Nothobranchius furzeri: one gene and its partners. The protein of the gene in region 5 purifies or fractionates together with the protein of the main gene of each other region. This does not show direct contact. Links are inferred from orthologs where the notes say so. Each region holds a gene or a part of one and is shown on either strand. Other genes may lie near its edges. The genes, in order: heterogeneous nuclear ribonucleoprotein Q-like, heterogeneous nuclear ribonucleoprotein R, sf3b1, cdc5l, ilf2, stau1 and hnrnpub.

Region 1 (4,037 bases), on a different chromosome or scaffold from region 5:
GATTTTCCTTGTTTGAAGTGACCAATCTGAGCGGTTGAATCTGATTTGTCCTGTTCTGACAAACAAATGTCAGATCTGTATACTAGTAAGAAATGTATTATCAAACATGCTCACTTAGATTATTATTCAGTCAGAGTTACATCATATAATCCATTCGTTTCACTGAAAAAGGAGCAGGCAGAACTATGAACTTGTTTAGCCCGTCCAAGTAACATGGAAGAAAAAATACATGTATCTGTATGTAAATGTAGTTAAAATGTCTTCCCACAATAGCTCATGTAGATTCTGTCTGAGTTATACCATAAAAATCCTACAGTTCCACTAAAAGAGTATTTACCTGCAAACTAGCCTGTTAGCTCAGCTTTCTGCTGCTTCCTCTGTAGCAAGTTAGCAGTACACAGGTTAGCTCCAGTAGCTGCAAAGTCTCTGATGTTCCACAGGTTCCTGAAAAATTAGCAAACTTATTAACATAAACTGCAATAATTAATTCCATGAAACCAGTAATGAATATGTTAAGATGAATTTTTAATACGTCTCTCTGGAACAATAGACCATTGTCCTTAGGCTAGCACAATGCTTGCTTAGCAGCTAGCTAGTGAGCTAACGTCTGGTTAAAACCAACTTAAAAAGTGGCTTAATTTACAGATTAACTAAGAAAAGATCAAATATATCATCAATTGTCACTTTAGATCCTCAGTAGACACCACAGACAGCAGAAATAATGTGTTTGGGGCTCAAAATTCATGTTGTTGACCGAGGTGGGAAAAGAATGTCTTGGAGGCTACATCACTTCCGGGTCACTGAACAGTCACTCAAGAGAAACCACTGTCCTATAGGAGAGGACTTCTCAGAAGTCCCACCCACCCGAAAGGGTTGTGTCAGAATTGCAACCAAAAACTCAGGGATTGCAAAAGAGAAAGCCAGAAAGTTTAAGTGCAAATCTGGTAGTGAGAGCTAAGCTGTGTGCAGCGAGAACGAAACTAAGGAAACTGATAACAAAAACACATAGAGGCAAACAGAAAAAGGAAACATACTTTGTTACTCATTTTAAGAAGTTGATTCAGATCATAAGTTTTTCTTTTGAAACAATTTTTTTCTCTCGCAATGTCTTAATATTTGATCTTCAAAGTGTTTTTCTTGATCCTATTGGCACAAATCTAATCCCATAGCATCGCTCACCGGGCGGTGGTGAAACCGGAGGAGCCCCTGCGAAGGTCACTCAGAAGCCCCGTTTATGCTAAAATGAAGCAGCAGCGCTCGCGACGTTATACAGACGCCATTTTGTATCCCGGGTGTCAACCAAGAGATTACCCGCGCTAACGTTTCTCTTAATTTGGACTATCATCAACACGGCGGATCAGCATCGTGCACCCACAGGTAGCTTCGCGTGGTAGGTAGCAACAAACATGGTAGCCCCGAGTTTGGCTCGTGCACGCGCCTCTACAGCGTGCTGCTCGACCGGCTGTGCTAACCGGTCTTTTGAGGAAAGAATCGGACACGCGTCCATCGATGCCGTTATTGGGGTAATGCAGGGAAAGGAGAGCTTATGGCTCATAGCCAACAGTGTTTAATACATCACGGTACACGTTCTCCATTCACCGGTGTCGGCGCGGTAACTACCGAGGCCTACTACGGGGGAAGCAGTAGCTCAGGTGGTAGAGCGGATTGCCTCGTGATCGGAGGGTCATGGGTTCGATTCCAGCTCCCGCCAGGGGTATCCTGCTGTTGTGTCCTTGGGCAAGACACTTCACCCAACTTGCCTGTGTTAGTGGTGGTCAGAGGGGCCGACGGCGCCAAATGGCAGCCTCGCCTCTGTCAGACCTCCCCAGGGCGGCTGTGGCTACAAGTGTGTGAATGTGAGAGTGTGTGAAAGCGTCTTTGGGTGTCTAGAAAAGCGCTATATAAACTCAGTGCATTATTATTATTATTATTATTACTCGAGCCCCACGCGCTCTCAGGTGTGGTGAGTGTTGGTTTCAGCAGTTATGGTCCATTAGACCGGGTCGCTGCTCTGGGGCTACTTATCCATGTTTTTGTTTGTTTTAAACGACTCCGATCTGTCGCTGATGGGTTTTCAGTTTAGTAACGATCTAACCGGATCAGTGTGGTCAGACGATGTCCGCTGTCCAGCTCGATGGCGCCAAATACCGGCGGCTGTTGTCTGAAGTCACCCGGAAACAGATCAGTTAGCTGTGTTTAAACCAGTCTAGGATCACAACAGGTGTTATCGGTAGATTTACCCACTAACACAACAGTTAGGCCAGGGCAATCTAACGCTGGTCTTCCCGGGCCACCGTGTAGCATGTTTTGGTTGTTTTCCTGCTCCAACACACCTGGTTCAGTTCGCTTCCCTAAGAAACCAATTACTGGAGCAGACACACCAGAACGGTGGCCCTGGAGGACAAGGGTTAGACCATTGGACCAGGGTTATCAACTTTAAAGAGCAAGTCACCCCCAAATCTACTTCTTTTGCTGATACATTATATAAACTAGTGTCTAATCGGGCTGTAGACGCATGCAGTCAATAATTTGGGCCTTTAGTGTATCATACTTCAAATGTAAATAATATTCCTAAAACTCAGTGTCGCACCGTGTTCAGGTAAACACCCTGCACTGCAGCTGAATTTAAATCTGACATTGCTATTGGCTAAGAGGTACACCATGACGTTAGCTGGTACATTATGTCACAATGTTGTTGTGAACCTGTGTTCGTGTGTGTGTGCGTGCGCTAGGCAACAGCATTTGTTGCATTTTTCAAACAGGAAGTGGGAGTGGAGTAAGACTGATAAGATGTGACTGGATAAGAAAAGATTCATAATCAAACTAGTAAGTCAAGAGCATTGAGGGGGTTTATTCTGTCGTAAAAACTTTGTGTTCAGAGTTAGGGATGCATGTTCATACGATACGTATCGCGATACAGAGTAGAAAATATCGCGATACTAAAAGCTGAGGAATATTTCCGAGACTGAATTTAAATGAAAGAAGCATCATGGTAAACAGTCCAAACTGTTACATGTGCTGGTGCAACCAACGCAAAGGGATCTACATTTCATCACAGGAAATAAAAATTTGCCCTTTAACTGGGCGGTGTTTTAACTGGTAGAGTTGAGTTTCAGCTCAAACTGTACGACTTCCTTGCAGAGCAAGTCTCACGAGTTACGTGCTCACACTGTATGTCTGGTAGCGACATGTTGGGCCCACAAATATGCTAAAATCAGCTGTTTTTACACAACACGTCAGACTTATCGTATTATTAGGGATGCACGTAGTTAACTGCTTAATTGCCTTTAATGTTGTGACCAGGTAAACTAGTTTTTTCCAGTTAACTGTTTCAAGTCCTTCTGCTGTGCTTGGTGCAATATATTTTGTGCCACTAGAGGACGCAAGAGTGCCACTGTCAAATGGTTTACTGGGCGACCGCAGAAGAAGAAATGAGCTCATCACAAGACCTAACAAATGTGCTGAAACACAAGCGGTTATTAGAGTTAGCGGTTATTGTTTGTTCTTTCGTTATTTCATTCTTGGAGCACAAAAAGCCTCACATCAGAGCGCCGAGCCGAGACCAGCAGCAGGTCCGTCGGCCGTGACGCTCCTTATGCCTGATGCCTTATTTGTCCAGTACAATAAAGAAATTAAGTTTTCTTGCATTCAACTAAATAATTACACTAGGTGTTAAAACCGCGGCCAGACTGCACTTATCAGCACGTGATCACAAGCAGCGCTGCGTATCTGAGATCAGATGGTCCGCTGAGTCTGACGGACAATCCAGCTGTCATCCCACTCTCTTTACTTTTGTTCATAAACATAACGAGTGTGGGACTTAAGTCGTGAGTCATTGTATTAAAGAGTAGATGGAGAAAGTGTTATTCATAGAGCGAGGCAAATGTTTGGGGGGGGCTATTGACCGCTACGGAGCGTCGCTAGCCGGTTAAAGAAAGTTTGGTAAGCATACATCCCCAGTTGTTATTGTCCGTTGGGATCGCTGGAGGTTGGAGGAGGAAGACGATGAAAGTGAATCAACATCTTATCAGTTTAAT
Region 2 (4,027 bases), on a different chromosome or scaffold from region 5:
TACGAATCCAATGGAAAGGCCAGGTGAGTGTGTCAACTTATTAGGGTTGAAGTGACAACTCACTATTTTCCAAACTTGTTCTTACTTTTAAAATTTTAGTGAAAGCTTTAATAGATGTCAGCCAATCTCCAACTACATCCACGTGAAAACAGTGTTGTGAATTTTGTATTAAATATAAAGTACACTGAGTATTTTCCTAGTGGCTGAAGACATTTACTGAAGGAGCATTAGCTCTACTGAAATGGGAACAACCTATGAGAATGGTAGCGGTCACCTTTACAGGATGAGTGTTCTTGTAAGGGGATCACAGCCATTTGGGCGAAACACTGAAGAATAAAGGGTTCAAATCCAACTCGACAAGCAGAACTCTCTAGTTCTTTAGTCTTTTGCACTGCTGACAAAATTTGACAAAAAAGATCTTCCGAATGTGACAATTGGAGGTTATGGATCAAATCAAGTAGTGAAGGACAAACACTGAATTTGAGTATTTGACAATTGACTGATGCTCAGCTGAGTTTTATTGAAACTGAACAAAACGGAAAAGTTATAAATACAAATAACATCAGAGAACAAACTGCTATGGCTCTTAAGGTCAGCCAAACCAAATTCTACCGGGCAAGTTTAATGAAAACAAGGAAGTTATGGTATCAGTTAAAAAAACAAATAAACACAATTCGTCTATCTCTAGAAATGCTATGCATACACTTCGAACAATACAAAACTTTGATTTCTTCCTTCTTGTGGATTCTTTTCTCCACCCTCGCAAAAAATGATGTATGAAGCTATAACGATATGCATTTATTTACAAGCAAATCCCTAAGCAACTACAAGAAACCACAAATTAAGGGAGTACAAGAATGGGGAGGGGGACATGGACAAAAAACTTAAGGACATATGCATTTTTTGACGTCCTCTCAGATATTTTAAAACGAATGTCCACTTTTTTTTGTTAACGTTCTTTGTTGGTTTTAAAAAAAACAGGAACAAAAAGTAACAATAAAAGCGTAAATTTTTTGCAATTTTTGTAAAGACACGTCCAAATGAGACTGTAGCAGGAAGAAATGATTCACCTCAAGGGGTACGTTCATTTCTTCAGCCAAAAACATTTCCAGCCAATCATCTTGAGCCAATTCTGCAGTGTGTCCATTTTTTCTGAGATACGTACAGATCTTTTTTTTTCACACGTGATGAAGAATAAAAAGTCAATCAAAAATTGTGGCCAATCTCCTGATTTTTTTTTTCTTTTTATTGTTGTTTTCCTCTTTTTTTGTTGTCGTTGCCAAATACCTTTTGGTGCATCTACTTCCACTGTTGCCCATAAGAATCCTGTGAAAACTCCATGGTGTCATTACTGTAACCATAGTTACCGGAATAGTCGGCCCCCTGCTGCAAGGGCTGCTGGGCGATGGGCTGGGACCCCCAGTTCTGCTGGTTGTTGGTCTGGCGGCGCTTGGAGTCGGGCTGGGTAAACACATCTGCCTTCCTCTTTCCGCCAACGTTCCCGCCACGATTACCCCTGGCACCGCGAGGACCACGGCCCCTCTGAGGTTGGAAAGGGGTTCCACGTCCTCCTCGAGCGCCACGTGGACCTCCAAGGGGTGGCCCCCTTTGTGCAAAGCCACCCCGACCTCGTGCTGTTGGAGCCCCGCGAGCCCTAGGTGGTGGAGGTCCACCCCTGCTGGGGCGAGTACCACGACTCCTCATGCTGTACACATCTTCATAGCCGTAGTAAGGGTCCTCATAGCCACCGCGGTAGTCGTGATAATCGTAGCCATAGTAATCGTCATAGTAATCGTCATAGCCATAGTAATCAGGTGGATAGGCATAGCCTCCCCGGCCACCACGACCCCTTCCTCTGCCTAGTGATGGCATGCGTGGAGGTGGGTAGTAGTAGTAGTCATCATACCTGCAGGATGAAAATTTCATGAATATGTTGTTCTGGGCAACTGACCAACCACATGTTTCCATTTAGGCTCACCCGCCACTCCTGGTGGTCTGCCGAGCTGCTTGGCGCTCTTTCCTTTTCTTGTCTGGGGGCTTTGCCAAAACAATCTCAATTACCTCACCTCCAAGCTCCTTCCCATTCATCTCATCCATAGCCTGTCAAAGAGCAAACCATCACTGTCAAGTACCGAGAAACATGACGCACTAGTATTACGCTGATTATTTCATAAAAAAACCCACCTTTACAGCAGCATCCCTATCTTCAAAATGGACAAAAGCATAGTCTTTCAACTTTTTCACCCGTTCCAGCTTCCCAAACTGGGAGAAGGTTTTCTCCAGAAGTTCTTCAGTCACAGCTGTAGCCAGCTTCCTGACAAAAAGCACTTTTACCTAAGATCACAGAAAACAATTTAGTCTTTTATTTAGGAACATAAGAAAATATCGAAACAGCAATATATTGCTATATTATTTCCTGCAATATTACATCGATATTCAAAAGCCGTGTATGAAGTTTCTGGAAGAATTTGCATGCAAACATTTGTTTACTTTCTTTTCTTTTGGTGCAATTCAAATGCTGACCACTAGCCAGCAGCAGTGTGCAATGGGTTTTGTTGCCACCTCTGAAATTTAAATCCCTCTACTATGGTTCAGATACCTCATGTTAAACATGTTACGTATCAGTTTGGACTGTTTATTGAATTTTCCTACAATAAATTCAATCTAAAAAACTTGCTAATAATGTCTGGCCGAATGTATCACAATACATCGTATTGTCTACCCTGTATTGTGATTCGTATCGTATCGCCAGATTTTCATCGATACACATCCCTATTTTTAACGCTGGGAGCTGGGGAATGATTTTCTGAAGAAAACATGGACTACTGACCTTGGCCATGACTTCTGGGTCTGGTTCAGCAACAGGGTCAGCCCACTCCACTGTCACAGGGTTGCCCCACACTTTGACCTTCCCACTCATTAGGCGGCGACGTGCCTGTGCTGCAGACTTGTGATCCTCGTACTCCAGAAAACAGAAACCGCGGTTTTTCTTCTTGTCATCTGGCTGGTGATACAGTATCACATCCTGCAGACCCTCTGTGGGGTGAAAAAAAACAAGCCTTCCAGTATTGTCAAGATTGGTTTGATAAAATCTATAACTGCACTCAAAACAAACCTGTCACTTTCCCAAAGTCCTCCAGTATACTTTCCCGTGTCTTGTTCTTGGGAATGGATCCAACAAACAAGCGATTGTTTGCAACAGATATACAAACTCCCAAGTACTTGCCAGGGCGAATTTCATGGTTATCACACTGAAAACAAATAAGAAAGGTAAAAAAAATTTCACACAACAGACACGGAATTTCTTATAAAACACAATTATCCATCTTTTGCTATGGGCTTACATGTATCTTTAATAAAGTGAACTAGCTACTATCTTAAAGGGGAACTAGGCAGTTTTGCTGGCTTTTAGCACCCCCCAGTGTTCGTTTGTCGAACCGAAAGCAAAACCTATTTCCTCGCTGTGCATTTGTCTTTTTAACACCTTAATCGAAATGTTGAAATGTCTCCTCATCCTTCATTAGTGTCTACAGGAGTGACTCATCACTAAACTTAACAAATCGGCTGTGTTCATGATCTAAAACATGCAGGAAATGTGCTGGAACCAGACTGCAGTGCCAGGTATTTCAGCTACATTTTTTAAAATCCCAACAGAGCAGCCCACGAATCAGAAGTTGAAAGTGGAATATTTTGGTCACAATAGGAGCTGAGTGGCCTTTCATTAATTCAATTCAATAATACTTTATTAACCCCAGAGGGAAATTAGAGCCTGTAAAAGGTCATTTTAGCACATACTGGCTCATGAAAATTATTTTAAAACTACGAAAAAGTTGCAAAGTATCCCTTTATATAAATGTTCTTGTGTTATTAGGAACTGAAATTTGACTAGTGTTTTTTTTGTATTATAGAGTAAGACTTACTAGCTTCACAGCCTTTTGTGCGTCATCTTTATTGCAGTATGTGATGAAAGCATAACCTCTGTTCTGACCAGACAGGGGGTCCATCATTAACCTGAGGTCCCAGATGG
Region 3 (3,500 bases), on a different chromosome or scaffold from region 5:
GTTACGTTTTGGTTTAGAGTTCATCGTTTTTGTGGTGTAGATCTCCCTTTTATTACATTTAGAGTGTTGTGGGTTTTTGGTTTAGTTTAAGATATCACCGTGAGTTTGGTTTAACCGCCCAGTTTAGAGTTTGGACCTTTGCAGATCCTTATTTTGGTCCAGAACCCTGTAATCTTTGCCCAGTGGGACATCCCTACTTATTTGTACTTTTGTTTTAATTCCCCACGGGCAGAATTAGTTTTATTATTCCCAACCTGTGGATGGAAAGATTTATGTTTTTTTGTAGTTGTAAAGAACCCTGATCATCATTTTAACTTTTAAATCCCGCTATTGTCCCTTCCTTTTTGCACACGAGCCAAACTCCCCAGGAAGGGTCATAACACCACTCGCCTCACACACATAAGTGACCAAAACAAAGCAGCATGGAGACACTCCTTCTCCAACCACCTCTCAGGCAGCAGGCTGCATTCCCAAGTTCTACACGTCACCAGAACATAACCAACCGCAACACAATAAAAGCAGTGTTATACAAAATGGAAGGTCTGTAGCGTTTATTCTATTACAGTAACAATTGATCAATTTCTTGGAGGAATTTATTAAGAGATTTTCTTGTTTTTATTAATTATGCAATAAGAAAATAATTACTAGATTAATTGTCTAAATCGGGGGTCGGCAACCCGCGGCTCTGGAGCCACATGTGGCTCTTCCATCCATCTGATGCGGCTCTCTATGCTTGTAAAATAATGAATGGATATTTAAATAAAATGCTTTATATTTTACTGCATTAATTTTACATCTGTAAGCTAATTCTAAATGTAAAGGTTGTCTGCGTAAACCTGAACAGGTCCAACCCAGTCTTACTGTGAGACCGGGTTGACGCGTCACGCTTGTGCGTAATCATAGGCACTTTCCGAGCTGAAGAGGATGTGAGATTCTGGGATTCTCCTCAGACAGGCTCCTGGATGTGTCGCCACATTGGAGACAGGAACAAGCGCTATTCAGCCAAAGTTTCATAATCAGGGAACATTTTCTAAGTGACAAGTCTCGCTTCAGTGGGAGGAATCTTCACGCATGCGCTCTGGTTCTGCGACGCGCTCCAAGCCCCTCTCCACATCTTCAGCTCGCTGTGTACCATACGTATGCGCTGACAGTGAGCTGCGCTGAGCAATGTCCAGCTCAGATGTTCAGATGGGAATCTTTTCTTGAGTGATTTAGCTACATCTGCGATGTGTGTAGAATAAAATGTCAGTTTGTCTGCATGCGTCGGGGTAATTCTTTCTATTCTTTCTCCGTCAAAATAAACGGTCAAATACGGGAACTGTCCGGTCAACACAACACAAGCCCTGCTTTTAACTGTTTTGTTTTCTTGTGAAAATTGTTGCAAAGAGATATAATTTAACTTGATTAACACCAGAGCCAGGCGCACTGCGTCGTTATCTCCGCTGCTGTAAATGAGGGAAAAACAAACTGATCGGATCCTTTTCTGACCTTCCCCACCTACAAAGTTTAATTACAACAATCAAACGTGACAGAGCCTGGATTTGTATTCTGAACAGTCTAAACATGTTGTAAAAAGAAACGTATGACAAAAGTGGCACCTGCTCAGTAAAACCAACAGGGTGAAAAATATCAAAATATTGTAGGCAGAGACGGGCTACAACTTCTGGATCCACTTTATATAAATCATTTTATTGATTATCTTTTTTATGAAAGATAACTTTGACGTACACGAGCGACCGGTACCGACTGCTGTCACCTGTTGTGATTGGTTAAGGCAGCGCTCTGCTGTCTGAGGGTAGGCCCCGCCCACAACGCCGCGGCTGCTGTGGCTCCCAGTGTTTTCTTTACTGTGGGAAACGGGTAATAATGGCTCTTTGATGGGAACAGGTTGTCGACCCCTGCTCTAGTCACTAGAATAGTTGACTATTCGATAAAAAATCGTCAGGATAATCGTTTTAAAAATAATCGTTTACCCCCAGCCCTAACCTCCACAGAAACTACTGCAGATCGTTATGGTTACCGTTTTGGTAAGAGGACTGTATTTACAGAGTTCCAGAACCTCACAAGGCGCTTGACAACAGTCTTTCACCTAAATCTCAGGGTTAGTTTAAAAGGTTATGCTTGCTGATTTATAAGGTTGTATCTGATCCTTTTCACCCAATGTGATGGAACGTCCCCACTAATAATAATAATGTCATTTATAAAGGATTAAACCTTTTCTTTTTTACTCAGTGTAAAACACACCGAGTCATGGCTTTAACGCGATCACCTGTAACAGAACGTGATTGGTGCTTTAAAAGATTTGTGGATGAGGGTCCGACTGACCGTGTTCGATAATCTCCACCAAGCTACGCAGATGAGGCAGAATGGCGCAGCCCATCAGGATGGCGATCTGCTGTACTATCTTGATGCCCGTGTGTCGCGCCTGCCACGACTTCTTGCTTTTGCACACAGCTTTGAGGAAGGGCAGGAGGGAGGGGATACCAAGAGCCGAGGCCACCACCGCGAAGGCTCGAGCAGTCGTGTTTCTGACATACTCATCCATGTTGTCAATATCAGGTCGCATTGTGGAAATCATTGTAGCCAAACCAGCAGCCTTAAAAACATGAGAAAAACAAGTTCACAGGTTACTCTGATTACCACTGAAAGCCCAAACACAGCATCAGTCAGCAGAACAAACACTTTATAACTATGACTGTGCACTCATGCTGAAGTATTTAACAGATGCTGCTTCTTTGCAGAGGAACTGTAACCAACGGGTGCAGGTTGAGAACAGACTAGGCATTAAGGTCAGGTCTGCATGCTCTCATGTTGGTATCAATCTGGCGAACAACTAGCCCTGATCAGACCACAAACTGGTCAACCAGGCGAGAAAGGTTCGCGTCATTTCTCTGTTACATCAACAAAAGCAAATGGCAGCTAAACAATACCTTCGCTAAATTAGAGATGATCTCTCTGCCTTCAACTCGAGCATAGTAGTCCTCATCAATGAGCAGAGGCTCAATCACCACGAGAATCTGAAGAGAAAAGCTCAGGTTAGAGCGCCAACATCCATAGAGACAAATGCACGTCTCCGCAGTGAACCCACCTTGTGCACATACGGCCGAACCAGGTCATCCAGTTTGTAGAGAATCCTGTCGATAACTTTCACCAGCAGGTGGCGCTCCTGGTCTTCCAAGGTAGGCGACATGAGCAGCGGCAGGATCTGATTGAACAGGGGACCAGCTCCAAACTCACGGGCTTTGTCTGTGATTTGACGCAGAGCCGCCTGATAAAGAAAAGAGACGCGTCAGATAAAAGCCTCACAAACACACAGAAGTACTTTGGTTTAGCGGTTGCACCAACTGCCTGCTGAAGCAGACCTTTTCTCTGCTACGTGGAACAAACTGGCACCTGCTGATCTTTTTATTTGCACTTTGTGAAAAAAAAATACTAGCTGTAGTTTATAAACCTAAACAAACGAACATCACTATACAGAAGGTCACAGCAAAAAGTCTGTG
Region 4 (3,002 bases), on a different chromosome or scaffold from region 5:
AACTCTCTCATAATTTGATTCACCTGTGTGTGGAGGTCAAAGGTCACTGAGCTTCCCAAACCAATTTCGAGTTCCAATAATTTGTTCTAAAGGTTTTGGGATCAATAAAATGACAACAGTGACCAGATTTATGCACCGGCCTAATTTTGTTTAAACAATTATTTCACTTTCTGTAAACCCTATAAACTTTTTTACTTCTCAGATCTTAGTGCATCTCCTATATTTTTTATCATAACCAACGATTTATAAAGGAAAATCACGGAGATCAAAAAGGCTGCCCAATATTTCACACCCCACCGTATGGCTGTGACCTGCAGCATGTTTCCATCTTACCTCCTGGTGTTTGCCTAAGGTGTGGTCTCATTCTCCCCAGATTACCTACAGGAGGAGCGGGATGGCTTTCCTCACCTGCTGATGCATCAGCCCACATCTTTTTTCAAATGTAAATAATTTTATTTTTTATGTAATAAAACTTTTCAGTTGAGTTCACACCATTGCTGTTGGTTTTATTGTTGAAAAACTTTATTGGTCACTAGTACAGAAGCAAGGACTACTGAACACGCTCAAATCTCAGCTGCTGACACATCACGGCAAAATTAGCACACAGAGGCAAGGATTTCCACTGGGATACAGTCAGATGGTTACAGCAGGTTTAAGAGGAAGCATTGTTTTGAGTCATGAATTAATGAATCTATCGATGCGTTACTCAGAATTTCTGCGTACTGTTGAGCAGCGACTCCCTCTCCATCAGGAGCTCTCCGTATCGCTGCTGGAGTTCTCGCTCTCTCTCCATCTGCCTCTCCACATCTTCCCGCAAAGCCTAAAAACACCAGAAGGTCAAACAAAAAGCTTTACTTGGTGGTAAAACTTTGGTTTGTCACCAAGTAAAAGGATTTCCTTCTAGAAAATATGTTTCTGGGCAAACAGTTCTGATCAGTTGTTTGTTTTTAAATAATTACATAGTTTATCAAAAAATGGCAACCTCGTCACTGAGCCAATCAGATCATAACAGCAATGAAAATAAAACTGGAGCCTTTTTTTCTATTTATATATAAAGGCCTTGGAACATGACCAGAGCATGGCTGGAATACATATTAATGGCTTTTATCATTTTATATTTGAGTCATTTGAAAACTGAGAAAGTTAAAATCTTACTTAAATAAGATTGTGAACGTAAATCCAGCCTAACGCTCGGAATGAGCAGGTGTGTGTGTGTGCGTGTGTGTGAGGGTCACCTCCTGTCTCCTGGGAATGGCGAGGTCCTCTTGTTTTTTCAGTTGACTGAAGGTCTGGAGCTCCGTGGCTGCCTGCTCCACCTGGTGGACAAAACAAGCACAACATGTCAAAATAGAATAAATTTACAGTCGAAACTAACAGTGAACCTGTATTTAAAAGCTAAACCAGCTGTTAGTTTACTTTTACAACAACAACTGTTTTTGCTGATAAACTACGAGCGTCTAATGGTGCTGTAGACATGTGTAGTCAGTAATTTGGCACTTTAGTGCATCTTAGTTCAAATTTAAATATTCTGCCTAAAACCGTCAGTGTCCCTCTTCAGGTAAAAACTCTGCACAGCATTTGAATTTAAATCCGTTGTCCCTATGCACTAAGAGGTACCCTATGATGTAAGCTGGTACATTATGATGTCACGGTGTGTGTGTGTGTTCTTGTACATACTACATACTGAGGACCATTTTACCTACAAAGTGAGGACATTTAATTGGTTCTCACTTTTTTTTTTAGAAGCTTACTATACCAGTTAGAGGTTTGGTGTGAATTAAGTTTTAGTTAAGGTTAAGAATAGATTAGCATTGGTTATGGTTAGGGTTGGGGTATGGGTTAGGCATAGTGAAATCACAAAAATGAATGGAAGTCAATGGAGGGTCCTCACTATGATAGAAAGACAGACGTGTGTGTGGCTTCGCCCTCTTGGTTCACCAGCAATGCCTCCTTGTGTCGCATTTTTCAAACAGGAAATGGGAGTGGAGTTTGACTCTGGTAGGGGGTGACTTGCTCTTTAAGAGCAGAAACATGGAACTCTGGTTTGTACACATTAAGATAATTTTGTTTGGCATTAAATGATAAACATGGCGATCCATTTACCCTCAGATGTGTACTATTGACTCTAAAGGAGCATCTTCCTTCCATGCTGACACAAATCTGCTCATTACCTGTTCGTAAAGCTCATTGTGCTGCTTCAGGAGGCCCAGGGCTCTGGACTGAAAACCTCCCAGCAGGATCTTCAGTTTCTTCTCTAGTTTAGCCGCTCGCCGAGCTTCAGCTGTCATGTGACCACGGTTCACCTGCAAAGGGCAACGGAGCCGGGGTCAAAGGGCTGGGACTCACTCAGCTTTTTAATAATTACATTTTAACTTTTTCACCTCTAGTTTTTTCTCCAGACTTTCAATTCGATCTTTCTTTGAAGCCAGGTTGGCTCTGGTGTACCTGCTCTGACCAGGTAGGTACAACACCTGCACAACAACAGCATCTTCAGCTTGATGGCAGTAACCCCAGATTGGTTTCATTTGTTCATCTCCTTTTGTTCACTGTGAGGATGCTCACCTGCCCATAGCACTCCTCCCACACCTGAGTGTAGGCCTCCAAGCTGAGATCACCATGACCCATTCCTGCTTTCACCACGTCCATTTCCGCTGCCAGGATGGCCGTTGCCTGTTCAACAGATGATAGAATAATTACAACCAAACAGGAGGTACAACTCTGTTTAAAGCCGGACCACGCTGTTTTTCAGCCGTCGCTCAGGATCGCTCATGTCACACTAAGAACTCCAGAGAGGTGGCACACTGTGCAGTACAAGATTTCAGTGATCCAGATGGGACAACATCTTGCTCCAAGCAGGACACACGTCGCTAAAAGCAGACAGCTAACCAAAACAAAGCTGAAAAAAGCGCCACTGTTACTTCTTAGTCTCACGACCCAGCTCATCTTCCTCAAAGAGGAAGTATCGTTTTCAAAACCCTTGCTTTGGTCTCAGTCTGCTTTTC
Region 5 (4,262 bases):
GTGTGTGTGTGTGTATGCATGTGTGGGTGTGTGTGTGTGTATCATACGGTGCAGCTCTGGATCCAGCTTGCGTAGGTTGGGCGGGACAGTGGTGATGAGGATCTTAACGGTTGCATCAGCTGAGCTGATCTCAAAGCCCGTCTCATTGGTCAGCATGGAGAGAACTGAAAGCGCGGGTGCACACACACACACACACACACACACACACACACACACACACACACACACACACACACACACACACACACACACACACACCATTAGTGTTTATTACATCATTAACTCACTAAAGATGCTCACTCTGTTTCTTGAGGGCACTCTGACCAACTTCAGCCTTTAGGTAAGGTCCAGAGCTGCAGATACACCCCCCCACACACACACACAGACCCACCCCCGTACCTTCTGCGGGGTCCTGGGTGCGAAGAGTCTCCACCACCTTGTTCCCGAGCGCAGCCACTGCCTCCACTGTTAGATTAAACATGAAGAGCAGAGTCAGCTTTAGCTCCAGGTGTTTAACACTGGACTCAGTATTAATCACCACTCTACCGACGGTATTCGGGGTTTAAATGACACCAAGTTGCCTCATAAACACATTTAGGATTCAGACACTTCTGTTCTCGAGTTCCTGTACGGTCTGACGAGTTTCGTCATCACTGTTAAGCTTAAAGAGGCTAAAGCTAAACAGCTTAGCTGCTGGATAGCCGGTCCGGTCGGGCTGCATGATGGGACTAGCCATGTATTTACCAACACGAGTCCAGATGTGCTCAGTGGTTTCACCAGAACATCTGTTGAAGCTGTTCCAGCAGGATGAGGCCCTAGTGACGGACCCAGGGCTGGTCTGAATGAACAATGACTCACGTGTAGGGAGGATCTTGAGGATGACAACGAGGTCAGCGACGTTGTGTCCAGTTGTCATGGTTCCCTTCTTGTATGAACCCACCTGACGAACTTCTTCTATTTGCTGTGGACAGATAACGTAAGCATGCGGGATGGCTTTGATGCGTTCTAAAAGATAAAACCGCTCAGCTACATAAAGCTCAGCCTGTGGGAGGTCTAGGAAGGTCATGACGGAAGAGAAACATTTAATCCCAGATTAGGACGTGACAGCAAACACAGATCATTACAGCCTTACTGACACCAACTCATTTACACCAGTTTCAGTAAACATGGCAGCTCTACAGGTCAGATGTTCACCACTCACCACTTCAAAGCTACCAGGGGCAACAATCAGGTTGTCGATGACATTATTGATCTTTGTGACCAAAGACAAGATGGAAGACTAGAAGCAGAAGGAAATGAAGACGTCAGGTAAGTAACCTACAGCACGATGAGACCAGTGAGGTGTTGAACTGGAATACCTAGCTGACCTGTTCTGCAGGTGAGGGGCTCAGGTCCTGGTTCCTCTTCAGCAGACACTCGCTAAACGCCGTCTCATCAGGAGCAGGTTTCACTCTGGGGAAGGCCATCTCACACTGGGGAAGGACAACAGTCTGCTTCAGAACCACAAAATGGACCGGATTCTACCAGATGCTAGTTGTAGCCATGGTTACTGATTATTCCTGCATGCTGTTCTGTTGTCTGTCACATGCGTGAACTCACCACATAGAAGTCAAATGGGATGTGCGGGACAAAAGGACGGTACCTGAGCGGGACAGAGAGAAGAACGGAGAATCGGTGGACTGGCACAAATGTCCCTACTAGTCAGAACCAGAACGTCTGACCGGGACCTTATGAAAGCTGATGTTCAAACCCAAAAAGTAGATTTTAACAATGATTTGGAGGTTTCAGTTATAACCAAGGCAGCGGTTCTTTTTGCTTCAGCACAATAACCAACAATCCGTCTTAGCTTCATCACCAGGACCACGCACAACATGAGCTGATGATTCCAGACTTTACAGCAGCTTTTTAAGGATCCAGAAATCAATGGATTGTTTCATTTGGGAAAAAATGAAGTTTAAAGAGACAGAAACAGGACGCTGCTTTCAGACAGGATGGAAAGATCTAACTGCTCTGAAGAAGTCCTTCTGGAGATGTTCTGGGGAGAGTGCCGTCGTCCTGTGTAATCACAAGAGGCTTCTTTTTCCACTTCTGAAGATCTTTCTCACTTAGACTTTTCTACTCTGATGGCTTATGGGTCCGAGTTCCATCCAGAAGCAGGAATCGAACCAGCAAACTTAAGACTAACTGTCAGATACTTTCTACAACCAGATCAAGGACCTGACTGAAAGAACCAGTATGGAACAGGAACAGAGATCAGTAAGGTACTCACCCCTGGACCATGCCTCCCCGGGCTCCGAAGCGGAGTCCTCGGCCCCTGCCGCGGTCTCCTCTGTTCACAAACACAAAACCCAGATCAGTCCAGTGCGCTCGCTACTGCCAGACTAAAGGATAAATAAAAACGCTGATCTTAGCTAACACACGTGTGTTATAGTCCTAATTCGCTACCTCAGTGTTAACTTGCTGTCGATAAAACGTAAGAGTTATCAGTAACACTGTTATTGGAGGAATAAATAAGTAACACCACGTTCAGAACGAGACTTTAACAGAAAGCTATACCGAGCTAATGGCTAACAGCTAATGACACTGATTACAGGCTAGTTAGCGTAAAGCCAACACAACCAGGTCCGGTTAGTCAGCGTTACCTCATTGCGTACGACGTTTTGATGGTTTGATGAGAGAAAACAGGGAGAACGGTTTGATATGGTTTAATGAATGAGCGGAGGCTAACTGCGGAAGGGACTAGTGTGGCACAAAGAGACTTCTGTTTCCGGCGGAATTGTTTCTTTCTTTCTGTTTTACGTCACCAACGCCGTGGTACATTACCGCCCCCAACTGGAATGGAGTGTGGACCGCATAGATATCACATATTATAGCTAGATGCGCTGTTTTTTTTATTTATTGGTATATTTTTTTGCTGCTGCCATAGCGTAACTTTATTCATTCACGTCTTTCTGGTCAAGTCTCTTTTTTAACTTTATTTCAATCTTCGTTTTCACATACATTCAGTTTACAATGTAACCTACATTCAACGTACTGAAGAATATAACAAATACAAATGACCGCACTTGAGGAAAATAAAAATGACATTTAGAACTTGCAACATTTACCGCATGGCACTACCATAAAATAAATTATGATGCAAAATAATAATAATTAAAACAAAAAATAAAATAACATCAACAACAAACAAAAAACGTTCAGAGGTTGATATTTCAGCATTATAGTTCAAACATGTTTGATTCATTGGACTGTAATTTAAAGAACAAGAAACTCAGACATTGTTTCGCACAACTCAGTTATAGATTGGTTATTTTCTGAAAATACTCTTTGAGATGTTGTAAATTGTTTTATTTAATTTTTAAAATGATTAATGTTAGGCTTGCTGTTTTTCCATTTAGTCTTATGTATTTGGTAATGTTCACCATTTTGGATATCTTTTTTGGAAGAGCATCCATGTATATCAGTACTTTAGATTACATCATTTCTCTCAATATTTACCAATCGATAAACATCCTCCTCAAAACCAAGTGTTACTGAACACGAGAAGAAAAAGGTGCTCAATAGTTTCACATTCTGTCATACAAAAGATGCACTGATTCTCACCTGCGCTGTTCGTCAATGGACCCTGACGTCCGTACGCGGCAGCCATCTTACTTCGGACAGCTGCTCTCCTCTAGCACTGTTGTTTAGTGGTGCATGAGGGGGAATTCAAGATGGCAGAGTGAGCAGGTGCTGGAAACTTGGCAGGTCTGATAAAACGGTGGGTTTTAAATGTTCTGAGAAGTAATTCTCTGATAAACAGTTATTCAGAACGAAATTGAAAGGAAATCGGTACCTGTGGAACATGTTTTTGAAGAGTTATTGGACAGATAAAGTAGCAAACACAAAAAATCAAATGACTAACATGGCGGCGCTAATAGGTAGTCTTTCCGACCATGACTACAACCTTGCGGCAATGAAGGAAGCATGTGCGGACGAAGACATTGAGGAGATGGAGCATCAACAGATAGCAGCAAGACCCACTGGTGATCACACTCCAATAAAAAGCCCCAATCAAAAAAAAAAACCTGAAAAATAAAGCTACTGGCAAACAGATATGCAATGAAAACATCTATGAAGCCCTGCTGGCCTTTCCAGAAAGATTTGATCTGCTAGACAAAAATCTGAAAGCTTTTGACCTTAGGATAGAGGCAAATGGCAACTGAAGAAAACAAAAAGGAAACAGACAAGCTCAAAACAAGGATGGAGGCTTTAACGAAGGA
Region 6 (2,890 bases), on a different chromosome or scaffold from region 5:
TATCACACCAAACAGCACTTCTCACACACTTTATCTTCTTGGGTTTCAGGTTTATTATTAATTTTTTTATAATTATAACCGTTCTCCATTTCTCACTGCTCACATGGATCAGCTCTCCTTTTTCTTTAATTGTCTCGCCCTTAATCAACGAGCGTGCACACAACCGGAGAGTTGAGCCCGCCCCCTGCAGGCACTGCCGAGGGTCAAAAACCGCAGCTCTTACACTATTAATCTATTAGTAACCAAACACAGTGTGTGGGTTACATATGCTTTTAGCACAAAACTTTATTGTAGCTTCATGAGGATGGAGAATGTGGCATTAAATTACAACACATTAACACAAAGGGCCATAAAGCACTATAGGAAAATCAACAGCAACTGCATCCTAGACAAAAATGAAAACAAGGCCTGAAACTTAAACTACTTCAGTGGGGATAAAACACAGACATTTAAAACCAAAGGAAGTTCACAGTTACTCCTATTTCAAATCAAATACACCTCCAAAATGATTGGCTAGGATGCAGCTACTTTCTCTATAGAGCAAATAAAAAAAATAACAATGTGTACAATTAAACAACATCAAGGAGAAGAAGTCTATTTTTTCCTATCAATCTTGTTTAACTGTGAAAACTTTGTAACAATCGATAAGAGCAGTGATAGATTAGGGCTTTTCCAAGCATCCGTAGAACACAGTGAGTTTTCTCTTTGACAGGCAACCAAACCCCAGCTAAGCTTTGCTATCCAGCGTCTGTGCCAATGTGCTTGAGTTAGCCTGTTTCAGGTGCAAGTCGCCTTCCAGCTCCTGTTTTCCACATCTGAGGAAATAAATGATTAAAACACATGGTTTCACTATTATTATACACAATAAATAACACTATAGCTGCTAGGTATCCCATTAAACAAAAATATTTTCTGCGGTTTGACCCGTCATCCACACCAAAGTTAAGATAAACAGCACCACAAATGAGACTTTGAAAAAGTTTGACCAAAGCGGAGGTTTGCAGATTCTGTTTTCAGGATTTGTTTGTGAACGTTAGTAACCAAGTTTTAGGTTTCACACTGCCCGAGACAAAAATGCTCTTTCTACAAGCGCCATTACTATTCAGTGTAGAAGGCAGCAAGCAAAGGGCAACGTTAGGACAGAGGTTTCCCCACTACCTAGTTATTTCACATGCTAATTCTCTTTAATTGTCACATCATATTTGTTTAGAGTCCTATTTTAGTTGACTAAAATATATGTATTTTTCATCTGATGCAATAATTTTCAACTTGTGCAAAGGAAATATCAAATACAGCTACTTGAAACTGTAAAGAAATATAAAAAATTCACATTTCACACTTTGGATCAATAAAACTGTTTTATAAATGTTTTAAATAATAATAAATCATGGAAAATACCAAAATGAAATCTGACTGTTTAGAATTGTGTCTCCCAGTATTAATAAACAAATCTATATAATGTATAATGTATAAGTAATATTTCTAAACATGATATGACATAATACCATATAACAATAAAAGGTGTTTTCCTAATAACGCGAGGAGGTAAACTAAAAGGTAAAAAATGTTTTCAGGCGTGTTTATTAGTTTCCATGCACTCATTTACCAAGGTAGGCCGCATGAATGTTTTTCCCCCTCCCTCACAAAAAAAATGCTAGAACAACGAATGCTTATCGGGCGTAGCAGCTCTGCTAGGTGTGCAGCTCCGTGAGTTTGGTTTGGCAACAGCTCAGCACCGGCAGCAGAAATCCACTCCTGGCCTCACCCAGCCCCGCCTGCTGCCACCACCCTAACCCTTTAAGAACCAGGGGAAACCCCAGATGGGAACTCACCAAGCAAACATTATTCAGATTGTCACATTTAAAGATTTTCCTCCCGGCTGTGGGCATTTTCTGCTTTTAGACACAAATTGTTCAACCGTTACCGGCAACTTGTTGTAACAGCGGCCGGCTCCAGTCCGAACTCTGATTGGCTCTTTCCTCGTCTATTCCTGTCTGCTTCATTTGCTGACCGGTTCTTTTATTCAAATTTCCAAATATTCTTCATTTTCTGATTCAATATTCGTTATTGTCAGTCTACACTGTCGTCTTTTATTCACTGACGAAAATATCAAACAACATCCGTTATAATTCAGTCTTCATAGATGTGCACATTAATTTATTTGTTTTGTTTTAGTCCGCAAAAATGTATTTGTCGTAAATATATATATATATTGTTGACAACATTATATATATATATTTTTTTTTAATATATATATATATATATATATATATATATATATATATATATTATATCGTCAACAAAATTTCCGCTGCAAGGAAAATTTTTTGGCAAAGACGCAGGAGATTTGGGGAACTACTGCCACCAACCAGCTTAGCATGCATGGCCTTACAATGCACTGGGTTGCACGAGGTGGCGTGAGCGCGCGCGCGCACGGGGGGGTGGGGGTGGTTTGTTTTATGAAACCTCGGCTCCGTGTGTAAACGGCCTTCATAATGATTCAGTTTTTATAATTTCACTCAAGAAAAATAACTTTTCAACAGTTTAAAACCCCAAACAAGTAAGACATTCACAGTCCTGACTGACAAACTTCTTGACACAGTTAAAATATCTGACTCTGTTCCACTGACAGGAGCTTCAGGGCGAGTTCAAATATTAGCAAGACGAAACATTTTATGAAAAACAAAAGGTCAGCTCAGCCAATCCTCACAGCTTACCCCGAGGCTGGTCCATTTTCTGTCCTTTCATTTGGCTGCTGGTCCAACTCAGCGAGTATCTTTAATATATTCAGTGCAGCCTGTGAAGGTTAAAAACATTGTTTACTATTCTGGCAGTCCACATAAACATGAAAACACAACGCTTTTAGAAAAAGTGTGGGTGTTTCAGAAAC
Region 7 (2,490 bases), on a different chromosome or scaffold from region 5:
CAGGTTCTAGTCAGTCGCACCGTTATTCACACACCGCAGAGGTCCGTCACACACACCTCGCAGTCGGCCTTGGTCTGAGGCCCCTTCACACCCCTCACACGCTCATCGACGGGGATCTGCTGCATGAAGGTGTAGCCCTCAGGCTGAGGGAAGTACGGGGTCTCCATCTGGCCAAAGTTGAACTCCACAGCACAGTTGCGACAGATGACGTGAGGAAAAAGGGCCTGGCCGTTTAGAGAGTCTTTCTGGACCTGGAAGGCCACAGCTGGCTCTCCACCATTCTTGGAGAAGGACAGCACCACCTCCTCACCCTCAAAGTCCTGAATCGAGGAGGAAAGGCGACATTTTGGTTTAGAAAGATGTGGTGAATGTTCTAACCCTAGAACAATCTTCCTACGCCCCCTACAGGGGCTCAGAGGTAAAGCACCCACTCCTGCAGCTCTGGACCAGGCCTCTGGGAGGTTGCTGGTTCCATGCCAGGACACTGCTGCTCTTCTTTTGCACTACGTCCACTTTTTTCTAGTCTAGCTCAGCCTACTCACCTATCTCTGTGCCTGCACTGGCTCGTCCAGCCAATCACAGGAGGGGTCACGCCCTTTCCTACCGTACACCATGGTACGGGTCTAATGTGTGTCTGGAAGTTTTAAAAAAGGAATCTGGACTTACGATGAGGCAGCAGATGACGTCGTTCTCCTCGTACGGCTCTCCGAAGTCCTCGGTCACACAGTTGGTCGTCTTCTTGCCTTTCCAGGAGTAGCCGAAGGAAAACTCCTCCTCACCTGAACACCAACAGATTACCATCAGCAGCCACAACTCACCTCCGCTGGCATTCACACCAACATGCTATGTTGCTTACAGCCCACTAGAGGGAGCTGTTGAGTCGGTCACGCATGACCGCAGCTGCCTGACGTCATGACTAAATAAACACATGGGGTAGAGACTTCCCAGGCTAAATCTGATGTTATTTATATTTAAGAGAAAAACAAGATAAAACAACAATAAAAGACACGAAATCCAGTTCAGCAGCTGTGTGTTTGGTAAAAATGTGACCTTTGACCCTGATGAATGTCACACACAGCGCCATAATGAAACCCTACAGTGGGTTTAACATACGGACTGGACAGGCATAAAGACAGCTCGGCCTATCGCCGCTGGTCGTTAAACCGGCTTAAACAGGTTCTGCTGCTGCTTATGGAAGATGTGGTGCCAGGTGTGAGAAGCTAAACCCTCGTGTAGCTTCACAAGCTGCTTCACCGACCTAGGAGCAGCGAGCCGGTAGCCAGAGACCATCCGACCTGGACATCGTGAATCTCCAGGTTCTTGCTGGATATGTGCTTCACTGGAATCTTCTCTGTAACCTGCAATCACACCACACACGACTCTAGCAACACCACCAGTCGGGGTTTAAAACACCAGCGCTGCAGGAAGCAGCAGCAGAGGACTTACCTTCATCTCAAAGCAAGCCTTGCCTTGGTTTACACCGTGAGTGGCCTTGCCTCCAGACCAGAGGTACGCGAAGCTCTCCATCGTGAGGGACGAAGCGCTGTAACGGTCCCGCGACACCTTGAAGTGCAGGTCGCAGTTGTCTGCAGAACACAAACTTCCCGTAAACAACACCGGCATCAACGTGTCCCTGCAGGTCACCAACATCAACTCTTACAGCTGTCCAGGCAGACTTTGGTCTCATCAAGCTCCTCGTCCTCTTCCTCCAAGGGCGGTACCGGAGACTTAAACGAAGCACTGAAAGAAGACGGCAGCGAGTAAATTAGAGGATTCACGCGGGGGTGACAGTGGAGCACATTGATGTTCTTTGGGACCATTTGCTGAAAAACATCACAGGAGAGAAGTGGACGGGCTTTAAGAAAGGGAAACAGAACATGACTGAGCCTCACAAACCCTGGCAGGAACCGACTTACCCAACAGCATCCGCAGAAATCTAAAACGGGAAAGATACAGACCGTCGCCATCGCCCCGTGATGTTGATCAGATGTGAATATCGTCCAGGTGAGTGTGAGCTCAGGGCTGCTATGTGATGTGTGGGACCGCTGGATCATGTTGTGTTTTAAATCAAGACTAAGAATTAAAACTGGACATCATGAATCTATGAAACACCAGTCTGTGTCTGAAACCTTCCCTGGTGTCCTCACGCTGTGTAGCAGCCGAGTCTGGATCCCGTTCATACCAGGTGAACGAAGACTCTCGGCACCGTAGAGGTGATTTAATCCTTGTTCAAATAAAACCTCCAGATCTACGTTCAGCTTCTGCCCGTTCATCCTCGGTGTGCCAGCAGCGCAATGAAAACAAAACACTGACCGGTAATAGTTTCATGTACACACACACACTCACACAGGCCATGCATGATGTCACCTATGCAGGGGTAGAAACAGTCCTGCAAAAGTGCACGCACACACACACACACACGATACAGAAACAGCATCTGGACATCAGTCATCCAGTGAGATAAATGCACAACAAATGACAAACATCGAT

What was found.
Region 1: the proteins of ilf2 (region 5) and heterogeneous nuclear ribonucleoprotein Q-like fractionate together in Homo sapiens (co-fractionation; 3 studies listed by BioGRID and IntAct, with this or other methods). This does not show direct contact. The link is inferred for Nothobranchius furzeri from reciprocal best matches to the Homo sapiens genes ILF2 and SYNCRIP.
Region 2: the proteins of ilf2 (region 5) and heterogeneous nuclear ribonucleoprotein R purify together in Homo sapiens (affinity purification with mass spectrometry; 3 studies listed by BioGRID and IntAct, counting the BioPlex papers as one, with this or other methods). This does not show direct contact. The link is inferred for Nothobranchius furzeri from reciprocal best matches to the Homo sapiens genes ILF2 and HNRNPR.
Region 3: the proteins of ilf2 (region 5) and sf3b1 fractionate together in Homo sapiens (co-fractionation; 3 studies listed by BioGRID and IntAct, with this or other methods). This does not show direct contact. The link is inferred for Nothobranchius furzeri from reciprocal best matches to the Homo sapiens genes ILF2 and SF3B1.
Region 4: the proteins of ilf2 (region 5) and cdc5l purify together in Homo sapiens (affinity purification with mass spectrometry; 4 studies listed by BioGRID and IntAct, with this or other methods). This does not show direct contact. The link is inferred for Nothobranchius furzeri from reciprocal best matches to the Homo sapiens genes ILF2 and CDC5L.
Region 6: the proteins of ilf2 (region 5) and stau1 purify together in Homo sapiens (affinity purification with mass spectrometry; 3 studies listed by BioGRID). This does not show direct contact. The link is inferred for Nothobranchius furzeri from reciprocal best matches to the Homo sapiens genes ILF2 and STAU1.
Region 7: the proteins of ilf2 (region 5) and hnrnpub fractionate together in Homo sapiens (co-fractionation; 3 studies listed by BioGRID and IntAct, with this or other methods). This does not show direct contact. The link is inferred for Nothobranchius furzeri from reciprocal best matches to the Homo sapiens genes ILF2 and HNRNPU.

What each region holds. Positions count from the first base shown.
Region 1 is NC_091742.1:17,031,949-17,035,985, reverse strand, and holds the start of heterogeneous nuclear ribonucleoprotein Q-like, read left to right. Parts: upstream 1-1,237; 5' UTR 1,238-1,377; exon of another isoform or gene 1,378-1,390; intron 1,391-4,037. UniProt on the Homo sapiens protein: Heterogenous nuclear ribonucleoprotein (hnRNP) implicated in mRNA processing mechanisms. Component of the CRD-mediated complex that promotes MYC mRNA stability.
Region 2 is NC_091759.1:6,948,558-6,952,584, forward strand, and holds the end of heterogeneous nuclear ribonucleoprotein R, read right to left. Parts: coding exon 3,921-4,027; intron 3,252-3,920; coding exon 3,116-3,251; intron 3,037-3,115; coding exon 2,831-3,036; intron 2,335-2,830; coding exon 2,185-2,334; intron 2,101-2,184; coding exon 1,979-2,100; intron 1,907-1,978; coding exon 1,300-1,906; 3' UTR 501-1,299; downstream 1-500. UniProt on the Homo sapiens protein: Component of ribonucleosomes, which are complexes of at least 20 other different heterogeneous nuclear ribonucleoproteins (hnRNP). hnRNP play an important role in processing of precursor mRNA in the nucleus.
Region 3 is NC_091754.1:36,036,838-36,040,337, forward strand, and holds part of sf3b1 (splicing factor 3B subunit 1), read right to left. Parts: intron 3,269-3,500; coding exon 3,089-3,268; intron 3,018-3,088; coding exon 2,931-3,017; intron 2,597-2,930; coding exon 2,326-2,596; intron 1-2,325. UniProt on the Homo sapiens protein: Component of the 17S U2 SnRNP complex of the spliceosome, a large ribonucleoprotein complex that removes introns from transcribed pre-mRNAs.
Region 4 is NC_091752.1:40,119,977-40,122,978, reverse strand, and holds the end of cdc5l (cell division cycle 5-like protein), read right to left. Parts: intron 2,671-3,002; coding exon 2,563-2,670; intron 2,472-2,562; coding exon 2,382-2,471; intron 2,304-2,381; coding exon 2,172-2,303; intron 1,317-2,171; coding exon 1,236-1,316; intron 821-1,235; coding exon 707-820; 3' UTR 501-706; downstream 1-500. Other genes in the region: supt3h (transcription initiation protein SPT3 homolog), read left to right, coding at 374-415.
Region 5 is NC_091751.1:23,258,300-23,262,561, forward strand, and holds the start of ilf2 (interleukin enhancer-binding factor 2 homolog), read right to left. Parts: upstream 2,801-4,262; 5' UTR 2,648-2,800; coding exon 2,643-2,647; intron 2,330-2,642; coding exon 2,270-2,329; intron 1,643-2,269; coding exon 1,600-1,642; intron 1,473-1,599; coding exon 1,368-1,472; intron 1,280-1,367; coding exon 1,202-1,279; intron 962-1,201; coding exon 859-961; intron 466-858; coding exon 400-465; intron 165-399; coding exon 48-164; intron 1-47. UniProt on the Homo sapiens protein: Chromatin-interacting protein that forms a stable heterodimer with interleukin enhancer-binding factor 3/ILF3 and plays a role in several biological processes including transcription, innate immunity or cell growth.
Region 6 is NC_091743.1:66,049,759-66,052,648, forward strand, and holds the end of stau1 (double-stranded RNA-binding protein Staufen homolog 1), read right to left. Parts: intron 2,798-2,890; coding exon 2,718-2,797; intron 816-2,717; coding exon 728-815; 3' UTR 501-727; downstream 1-500. UniProt on the Homo sapiens protein: Binds double-stranded RNA (regardless of the sequence) and tubulin.
Region 7 is NC_091742.1:29,996,062-29,998,551, forward strand, and holds part of hnrnpub (heterogeneous nuclear ribonucleoprotein Ub), read right to left. Parts: intron 1,741-2,490; coding exon 1,661-1,740; intron 1,587-1,660; coding exon 1,447-1,586; intron 1,359-1,446; coding exon 1,259-1,358; intron 780-1,258; coding exon 667-779; intron 321-666; coding exon 57-320; intron 1-56. UniProt on the Homo sapiens protein: DNA- and RNA-binding protein involved in several cellular processes such as nuclear chromatin organization, telomere-length regulation, transcription, mRNA alternative splicing and stability, Xist-mediated transcriptional silencing and mitotic cell progression.